2 linked regions of the Sus scrofa genome follow. The protein of the gene in region 1 interacts with the protein of each later gene in a pairwise test. Links are inferred from orthologs where the notes say so. Each region holds a gene or a part of one and is shown on either strand. Other genes may lie near its edges.

Evidence for each region. The genes of interacting proteins can lie anywhere in the genome.
Region 2: the proteins of MAPK1IP1L (region 1) and SS18L1 interact in binary tests that used the Homo sapiens proteins (3 or more experiments, as listed by UniProt). The two-hybrid records come from large-scale screens. The link is inferred for Sus scrofa from reciprocal best matches to the Homo sapiens genes MAPK1IP1L and SS18L1.

Annotation. Positions count from the first base shown.
Region 1 is NC_010443.5:184,406,683-184,411,879, forward strand, and holds part of MAPK1IP1L (MAPK-interacting and spindle-stabilizing protein-like), read left to right. Parts: intron 1-3,056; 5' UTR 3,057-3,060; coding exon 3,061-3,078; intron 3,079-3,722; coding exon 3,723-4,430; intron 4,431-5,197.
Region 2 is NC_010459.5:61,580,677-61,585,873, reverse strand, and holds part of SS18L1 (calcium-responsive transactivator), read right to left. Parts: intron 5,158-5,197; coding exon 5,073-5,157; intron 4,467-5,072; coding exon 4,322-4,466; intron 3,859-4,321; coding exon 3,661-3,858; intron 2,870-3,660; coding exon 2,708-2,869; intron 2,427-2,707; coding exon 2,322-2,426; intron 1,433-2,321; coding exon 1,340-1,432; intron 1-1,339. UniProt on the Homo sapiens protein: Transcriptional activator which is required for calcium-dependent dendritic growth and branching in cortical neurons. Recruits CREB-binding protein (CREBBP) to nuclear bodies.

The DNA.
Region 1 (5,197 bases):
TCTTTCTTTCTTCCTTCCTTCCTTCCTCTTCCTTTCCTTCCTTCTTTCTTTCTTTTTAGGGCTGCATCAATGACATATGGAAGTTACCAGACTAGGGTCAAATAGGAACTATAGCTGCCGGCCTACACTACACCCACAGCAACACGGGACCCAAGCCAAATCTTCAGCCTGTGCTGCAGCTCATGGCACTGGGTCCTTAACCCACTGAGCAGGGCCAGGGATTGAACCCAAGCCCTCATGGATACTAGTCAGATTCATTACTGCTGAGCCACAATGGAAACTCCTATACATCTTTTAAAGATCCATAGAGATCAAAAGAGGAGTTCCTGTTGTGGCTCAGCAGCTTACGAACCCAACTAGTACTCAGGGTTCCATCCCTGACCTCTGTCAGTGGGTTAAGGATCTGGCGTTGCCATGAGTTGTGGTGTAGGTCACAGACAAGGCAATCTGGTGTTGCCTGGCTGTGGCGAGGCCTGCAGCTCCTGTTCAGCCCCTAGCCTGGAACTTCCAAAGGGTGGGTACTGTCCTAAAAAGAAAAAAGAAAAAAAGAGAAAGTATACCATTTAGAAATTTGACTCAAAAAAATTTGTAGGAGACTTGATTTTAAAAACCACTGAGTAATAAATGATAATGTTGGGACTAGGAAGACATACCTTATTCTTGAATGAGAATATTTTATATTTTAAATGTATCAAATGTCCCCTAAATTAATCTGTAAATTTAATGCAGTTTCAACTAGAACGCTAACAGATTCTTTTTTTAAACAAAATAATCTGGAAAAAATAAGCATGAGAATTTTCAGGAAAATCTGGAAAGACAGCAATACTAGGTCATAAAAATCTGTTAAAAATATAAAGCTGCCCTAATAAGATGACATGTTATAGTGTGAATTAGAAAAGAATAAAGCTCACAATACCTATGGGAAATGATGGGGGCTCTACAGTCTGGTGGCTAAGAGCCTTGGCTCTGGATTATACTTGCGTTTAAGTCGCTTCTCTGCTTGTCCCTAGCTCTGTGACCTTAAACAAGTTAACTTGCTAAGCTTCCTTTTCTACAGCTGTCAGCTGGGTATGATGATAGAATCTGCAGCTGCTAAATGAGATTATATACCTAACACACTTAACGGTACCTGTTCCATGATATATATTCAGTATTTGTTGTCAGTAGCAGGTGTAGAATGTGTTAAAGGTAGCTTGTTATGTCAATTGAGAAAAGATAGATTATTCAGTAATTATTATTGGAAAGAAAGATTTTAAATAAGATAAACCATATAAATACTATTAGAAAGCATAGGTGAACTTTTTTTCTCTCATAAATGACAGACAGCTAATTTCCTTAATGTGTTAGAAAGCACTAAAAAAGATGTACTACTAAGTAGTAAAATGATCAAAGTAAAAAAAAAAGTATGTTGCTGTCTAATTTATTATGAAATCAAGGAACAAGCAAAAACTAAGAAAGTGACTGTTGAGTTGGAAGAGGGAATTGATTTGAAAGTAGCCTGTGCAAACCTTGTGGACTGAGGGGAATGTTCCATATCTCAGATGGTTATAGGGGAATTTACAACTGTCAGAGCTTACTGACCTGAACACTAATCCATGCATTTTATTGGGAGTTAATTGTACTTGAGGTTTTTTTGTTTGTTTGTTTTTGTCTTTTTGCCTTTTCTAGGGCCGTTCCTGTGGCATATGGAGGTTCCCGGGCTAGGGTCGAATCGGAGCTGTAACCGCCGGCCTACACCAGAGCCACAGCAATGCAGGATCCGAGCCACGTCTGCGACCTACACCACAGCAACTCTGGATCCTTAACCCACTGAGCAAGGACAGGGGTCAAACCTGCAACCTCATGGTTCCTAGGCAGAGTCGTTAACCACTGAGCCATGATGGGAATTCCTGTACTTGAGTTTTATTTATTTATTTATTTATTGTCTTTTTGCTATTTCTTTGGGCCGCTCCCGCGGCATATGGAGGTTCCCAGACTAGGGGTCGAATCGGAGCTGTAGCCACCAACCTACGCCAGAGCCACAGCAACACCAGATCTGAGCCACATCTGTGACCTACACCACAGCTCACGGCAACACTGGATCCTTAACCCACTGAGCAAGGGCAGGGACCGAACCCGCAACCTCATGGTTCCTAGTCAGATTCGTTAACCACTGCCACGACAGGAACTCCTGTACTTGAGTTTTAAAGATTGAAAAACATAATCCAAAGCCATGAGCATATTCACAGAAAAAGAAGTCTAAATGAGGTATTAAATATAAATGATGCTCTGCTTTCCACCTAATTATGTAAGTTAAAACAACAAGATGCCAGTTTTTTTAACCTATCATAATTGAAAATGACTTACAAATTTAATAACATCCGGTGATGAAGGGGAATTTTAAAAAGATAGTGTAGGAGTTCCCTTTGTGGTTCAGCGGTTAACGAACCCAACTAGGATCCACAGGGATGAGGGCTCAGTCCCTAGTCTCTGCTCAGCAGGTTAAGGATCCGGCATTGCCGTGAGTTGTGGTGTAGGTCAAAGACGAGGCTTGGATTTGGCTTGGCTGTGGTGTGGGCTGGTGGCAACAGCTATGATTCGACCCCTAGCCTGGAAACTTCCAGATTTCGAGGGTGTGGCCCTAAAAACAAACAAACAAAAAGAATAAAAAGGATAGTGTAAACTGGCATGGGCTTTTTGAGATGGATTTTAGATGACCTTACCTGTCGATTATATATTTCACCTCTAGTACATTTCCCTGATGATAGACTCAGAAAGATGTGTTGAGAGATGTTCATTGTGTTGTTATTTAAAACAATTCAAAATGTGAACAATCTAAACTGCCACCAAATTGAGTGTAAACTGAATTATGGATCACTTTTATGTGATGTGCAACCATTAAAAAGGGATGAAGTTCATAGAGCTGTATGAATGAACTATTATAGAAATTATAAGTGATTAAGATTCCATTTAAGTTAAAATGATAGAAAGTTACTTAAAGAATATACAAGAAATGGTAAACACTGGTTTTGAAATATTCCTTCTTTTTTTTTGTTTTTGTTTTTGTTTTGTTTTAGGAAAATGTCTGATGAATTTTCGGTAAGTTGATGTATTTATTCTTCATAGGTTTTTGGCTCTTAGGAAAAAAAGGCGTGGTCCTGATTGTGGGCCATAAGTTTAAGAGAAATAGCTTTTGTGATCCTTGGATTTTTTTTTTTTTTTTTTTTTTGGCATGTGATTTTGATAGATGATTTGCCTTAATTTACTTAGCTTTAATGTGTTTGAAAATGCATTCTGTCTGTTTATTTCTTTATAACTCCTTAAAGTGTTAAGTCTGTCCTCTTATCCTGATGTTAATAATAGCCAACATCTGTTGAAAATTATATACCAGGCACTGTATTAAGTGCATTACATGAGTTATCTTGTTAAGCATCAAGTTAGCCCTAAGATACTGTTTTGAAAATGAGGAAACCCAAAGCTCAGAAAGGGTATATAACTTATTTGAACTAAAACCAGGATTCAGCTCACACTATGCTGATCAGCTGTATTTAGCAAACTTGAGTTTCTCTGTGGAATTTGCACTGTAAAACTGAAATTCAAGGTAACTCCTCAAATTTTGTATTAAATAAGTTGTTTTTAAATTGGCTTTTGAAGAATCCCTAAACCTTTATGGGTTTATATTCATGTTTGGCATTACTTGTCCCTGAATGAGATGAGTAAGACATGCTTGTTTTGTATTCCAGTTGGCAGATGCACTACCTGATCACTCCCCTGCCAAAACCTCTGCTGTGAGCAATACAAAACCTGGCCAACCTCCTCAAGGCTGGCCAGGTTCCAGCCCTTGGAATAACCCAAGTGCTCCACCTTCTGTGCCATCTGGACTCCCACCAAGTGCAACACCCTCCACTGTGCCTTTTGGACCAGCACCAACAGGAATGTATCCCTCTGTGCCTCCCACTGGACCACCTCCAGGACCCCCAGCACCCTTTCCTCCTTCTGGACCATCATGCCCCCCACCTGGTGGTCCTTATCCAGCCCCAGCTGTGCCAGGCCCTGGCCCCACAGGGCCTTATCCTACACCAAATATGCCCTTTCCAGAGCTTCCAAGACCATATGGTGCACCCACAGATCCAGCTGCAGCTGGTCCTTTAGGTCCATGGGGATCCATGTCTTCTGGACCTTGGGCACCAGGAATGGGAGGGCAGTATCCTACCCCTAATATGCCATATCCAGCTCCAGGGCCATATCCTGCTCCTCCTCCTCCCCAAGCACCAGGGGCAGCACCTCCTGTTCCATGGGGCACTGTTCCCCCAGGAGCCTGGGGACCACCAGGGCCATATCCTGCCCCTGCAGGATCATATCCCTCACCAGGACTCTATCCTGCTCCCAGTAATCCTTTTCAAGTGCCTTCAGGACCTTCTGGTGCTCCACCGATGCCTGGGGGCCCCCATGTGAGTGTTTAATTTGTTATTTAACATGTACTAATAGTCCCATAAGCACAAATGACAGATTGTCTCCAGTTTGGGATGGAAGATTAGAAAGCTTTTTAACCTTTTTAAAAAAAACAAAAACAAAACCAAAAAACTGTATATAAAGTAAGAGTAAATTTCAAGCTTCAGATGAACTTTGGGTAAAACATTTAAAAGGATGAAAGCACAAGTTACACATTCCTGATACTAAAAATAAGAAACTTCCCCAAAGACTGTACTGTAGTGAGCAATGTCCTCAAATAGCATTCATCGGGTAAACTCAGATGTATTTCATTGGACTTTTTAAAATTATAACATTTCTCAGTAATGTTTTCTAGTATCATAGCAAAGCACAAAGTTCAATAAAAGTAATCTCTGCCATTCTGGCTGGATATAGAGGTAGTTTGTTTTTTTTTTTTAAAGAGAATCCAAGGCAGTGAATGTGTGATGTCGCCCTTCTTTGATACAACTGCCTGTAGTGTTTCTCGGTCAAGGTTTTGTTAGATCCTTAGCAGCGTTGAGCTCCAGGTTATACCACTCTTCTGCTTTGCCAGTTATATATAATGCCATATGCTTTACTGTCAGCCAGGCTAGAATAGGGTTGATACCTTAGTGGAGGACCCTGTCTCAAACATATGACCAAATAGAAAAGCACCCTGTTTCCCCGTGAACTGAGCCAAGCCAGATTCTTAGGGGGAAAAAAAATCTATTTATTCTTAACAAAGAATGAATCATATCTCCAACCATAT
Region 2 (5,197 bases), on another chromosome or scaffold:
GAACCCACATGCTCATGGATGCCCGTCAGGTTCGTTACCGCTGAGCCACAATGGGAACTCCCAGGGTTTTTATTTTTAAATTAAGTTAAATACATTGGGTTTTTTTTAGTTTTGTATATACTGTGAAACCAAAAAACTCAGGTGACTTTCTCTATTGCAACTTCTGATTTATCCTGATGGTCTCGAGCCAAATATCTGAGAGGTCTGCCTGCACCCCAAAGAATCAAAAGCGGGACCTGGAAGAGATGTTTGTAAACCCACATTCCTAGAACACGACTCACAATCGCCAAAAGGAGAAGCAACCCAAGGGCCCATCAACAGATGAAGGGGCAAGTTGAATGTGGTCAATTTGCCTCAGAAAGGAAAGCAGTTCTGACACCTGCTCCCACATGGATGACCTTGGAGAGGTGCTGCTGAGGGAAAGGACGAACCCTGTGTGACCCCCCCCCCAGGGACCCAGAGGAGTGCGGGGGCCGGGGGCGAGGCGGGGGCCAGGGTCTGAGAAGGTTCGGAGACCACGGCAGGGATGCGGACACAACAATGGGAACGCACTTAACGCCCCTGCACCGTGCACTTAAAATGGTTAAGACGGTCGGTTTTGTTCTGCGATTTTACCGCTAGGAAAACATCACCCCGGAAGTCAAACGCGACTTTTCAAGGCACCCGTCCCACATGGACCGTTTGTCCTCTTTCTCCAGGACCCCCGGCAGCCCCTCCGTTCTCCCTGCTCCCGACACCCAGGTGGGTACCTGGACATCACGTCACCCTGGGCGCTCATGCCCTCTTCTCGGGGGCCTCCTGAGGACGCTGGGAAGTCCCTCCACCCGACGGGCCAGCTGGCAGCCGCTGTGAATCACCTGTGCCTGTTTCTTCCCAAATCTATGTTTAGGGACGTCACCTGGACGGCTTCAGGTCAGTGGGGCTGGGAGCGCTTACGGCAGAGGAATGGGCGAGCACTACCGAGCAGGGCTGTCTGTCCAGGCGGCCACGGCCAACACGTCGTGGCCTCACCTCCATCTGACCCTGCACCGGACCACCCCCACCCCCAGATGCGCCTTATCGGCCAGCAGGTGTTTGAAGCAATGCCCAGGCCACCCCCACTGCAGCAACACCCCCCCACACGTGCCAGCGGCTCGGGTCCAGAGGGGGCAGGGCGCCTGGGTCCCTGCCGGCCGCCCACCCGAGTTTAGAACAACGGATGGCCTTGACCGAGGAGGCTGAGCCTCGACCAGGTGGTGGATTGGACCCCGAGGCCCTCCTGCTTCAGAAACACGTAGGCACTGGCGGACACCGCCCCAGACCCCGGGCACACCCGGCTAGGAGCCCGCGGCCGCCTTACCGCCCTCGTAGTAGTGCTGCGTGGACTCCTCAAAGGACCGGTCGTAGCTCTGCTCTGTGTAGGACGACGGCTGGTAGGCGTAATCGCCGTGTCCTGTGGGCAGACGGGGACACCCTGCAGTCAGCGGAGGGCCCTGACCACCCAGACCTGGCAGGGACAGCCAGGAACACAGCCGCTGGGGTCAGGAGAGTCGCAGCTGGACGCGGCCCCCCTGCTCCCGGGGCCGCGTGAAGCTGGATAAGGGCGGCGTCCGCAGCTCTTAACGTCACTACGTGGTCACTGTCCCACACTGCTCTGTGGGATCCCATCAGGAGCACACGACCCCCACGAGGCCTGGTCACTGCTACACGGAGGGCTCACGGCTTGCCTGGCACTGGCCTCAACCACCTCCCTACCACCCACACCGAGAGCCGGCCAGCTCACACCGTTCCCTGCCTGGGGTCCTCCCCAGATCCCACCCAGCCTCTACGGCCACTTTAAATGGCACCTCCACAAAACCTGAGACTACTTAAAGATGCCTGAACGGTGACCCAGAAAAGGCAAAGAGCCTGCCGAGACTGACCGAGCAGCTGGGAGGTGAGGGACACGGGACAGTCAGCTCAGGCTTGTCACCGTCCCGAAGGCGCTGCACAATTTTTTTTGGCCGCCCCGCAGCCTGTGTAGTTCTCGGGCCAGGGATCAGATCCGAGCCGCAGACATGACCTAGGCCACAGCTGCAGCAACGCCTGATCCTCAAGCCACTGTGCCGGGCCGGGGATTGAACCTACGTCCCAGCACTCCCAAGACACTGCAGATGCTGCTGCACCCCAGGGAACTCACAACTTTTATGTCCACTTTTTAAGGCATTTCCATCCGTCCACTCAAAGGACCTCACCCCCCAGCCCAGGGTGGCCGCCCCCACCCCAGCCCCAAAGGGGGCTCTGTGAGCTCTGCCAGCGGGTGTTGGGGTGACGGGGTCTGGACTGGGACCGCCGCAGCTCACCATCGGGGTAGTACTGCTGGCTCAGGGGCTCCGAGGCGGCCTGGCTGTGGCCGTACTGCTCGCCGCCGTAGTACTCCTCCTGACCCAGGTACTGCTGGGACGAGCCTGGGAGACAGCACTGGGAGTTAACTCCTGCACCCGAGAATCTCCCCAGCGGGCCACCAGTTGGGGGATGCCCGCCCAGGGGACCCCAGGCCTCTGCCACCCATCCAGCCCCTGGTACCCCAGACTTCGCATCCCGGCCCCGCTCCCCCATGGACACGCCCCCAACGGGGGCTCGCACCTGACCCACCCAGGGGACGGCACCGGCTTCTGTCACAGCCCAGGGCTCTGTGCCACCCCCCACCGGTTCCCACGGAGACAGAGGCACTGAGGGCGGGCCTTACCTTGCTGGGAGGGCCGGTAGGGGGCCATGGGCCGCTGCCCTATCATGCCGCTCCCCTGCCCGCTCTGGCCCATCATGGCCATGGACTGGCCCTGGTAGTGCTGGGCCCCGCCCTGCGCCGCGCTGTAGTGGGACGAGGCCGCCTGCTGGTGCATCATGGACACTGGGCGACACGACAGACCCCGAATAACCCCGAGAAGCTCCCGGGGCAGCGCCTCCCTCCCCGGCCTGGGCCCCCCCACCAAGGCCAGCCTCTCGAGGCCACAGCACCCTTCCGGCCAGTGCACCTCTGGGCGACTCATAAAACGTGAGTGAAATGCCAGCCCTCACTCCCCCAGGCTGGTCCCCGAGGAGTGTGTCACTCCCACCCCCAGAGCCGGGCCTCGAAGGCCCCTGGCAGGGGCCCTGTCACAGCCTGTCCTTTCCTGTCACCCCTGCTCAGGACCCTCTAGGGCAGGGCCGACCAGCACAACGGGAGAGGAGCCACAAAGAGAAGCCAAAAGAAACAGGTGGAAGCTAGTGCAGCAACATATTTTATTCAACTCAACGTATCCAAAGTAGATCGCTTTCAATAAACCAAGGAGGCGCCTCAGGTCCTCTCTGGACTTTGCCTGACACTCGGGGCCATCCCCGTTTGGACCTGATGCTTCCCAAATGCCCAAGGTCCCAAGCCACTGCCACGGTGGACAGCCAGCTCACGGGGCTCCCCCTGGCCCCTCAGCTGGCCCTGCCTGCTTCCCGCTCCTGCACTCTGGCCACGCCGGCTCCCCACCCATGGGAGCCCCAGACTGTCCTCCCAGTGGGGCACATGCCACCCCTCCCCAGAGCCTTCCCTGAAGCCGCCACGGGCAGCCACCTAGCCCCCCACCCACCTGGCCGGCGCCCCCGGGCTCCGTCCCCGGGGCAGCTGCCTGCACACCTGCGGGAGGGTGGTGGGGCCGGGCAGGGCGGTACCTGGGTTGGACTGCATGTTGATGTTGGCCCGAGACACGTAGTTGCTGATGGTGCCCTGGCCCTGCAGGGGCACGCTCTGCGAGGCGGGTCCCGAGTGGCTGTAGCCGGGCCCCGAGCCGTGGCTGCTGCCGGACATGCTCATGGAGGTGGTGGGCAACGTGCTCGGCGCCGTCTGCTGCAGCGACACGTGGTTCGGGCCTGCGGGACGGCGGGGGGGGGGGGGCATCTGAACCCTCTGACGGCGGCCCTGCCTCCGCTCACGCTCGCTCGCTTCCCTCCGGCCACCGTGGGAGGGAGGCTGACCACGGTCAAGGGCGCTGGGAATCCGGCACGTGACTGCGACGGGGGCAGGAGGGGGGCAGCTGCCTGCTCCCCACGATGCTGCTGCTAATAGCTCCTGACGCCTGTTAATGGTTCTTAACCCAAGGACAGAACACTTCCGTTCCTGTCAGGGGCCCGCACGTGCCCCCGCCCTGCCGTGCCAGCAGAGGACCTGGAATGACGGCTTTGTGCCCCCATGTTTCACTGCACGCATGCACCTGCAGCAGGACCTCCAGGGGGCCGAGGTCCCCCATGGATGGCGGCAGCCGGCCACTGTCACCCTCGGCAGTGACCCTGTGCCCCGGAGCCAGCCCCGACCCACTGCACCCAGGCCTCTCACCGTTGCCGATCTGGGCCTGCATGAGGGAGGAGGGCGGCAAGCCCGCGCCGATGGCGTCGCCGAGGCTGCCCTGGGCGTGCAGGCCCTGGCTGGAGCCGCTCTGCGACAGCCCCCCGGGGCCCAGCGTCATGCTCTGTGTCGGCGGCTGTGGCAAAGGGAAGGTTGCTGAGCGGGTGGCTAACTCGGAGAACCGCCACCAGAAGCCACTCCGGGGCTCAGGCGCCCCAAGACCTGCAGCCACACACTTCATGGGCACCTGGCAAACGCCTCTAAGATGGACCCACTTTCATGCTTAGCCGGACCACCAGTGACCAGCCGGAACACCTCTGGCCAGGATGGAAGGGACACGCCACGTGTTCACCAAGCTTGTCAACACATGCGCGGAGGTTCGAAGCTGGGCCCCCTTTCCTGAAGCTCGGGACTGCTCTGCTGGAGACCAGCTGTGTCCTTCTGGGCTTGCGGCACAGACCTCCCACCCTCCTGGTCTCGGCAGGCTGGTGGTCTCTGTTCCTCCCACCCCGGGGTCCGAGGGCCCTTGCACAGCATGTCCTGTGCATTAGCACCACCTTCCTGGGGCGGGGGCCCTCCCCCTCCCCCGCAGGCCCACCTCTGGCCACGGGATGTAGAGGGGAAGCAGCTTACAGGACCCCCGCCCGATCTGGACCAAACAGCAGCTCCGAAGGTGTGGCACGATGCTTCTACACCTCTGCCCCCCCCGCCCCCCGCCGCCCCTGGCTTGGTGGCCACTCACGGCGGGCAGCAGGGACTGCATGTTCTGGTTGGAGTCCGCGATCGTGGCCAGGTAGACCAGGTTCCGGTGCAGAATCTGCTGGTACCTGCGGGCGAGGGTGCAGGTGAGGTGAGGTAAGGCACCCA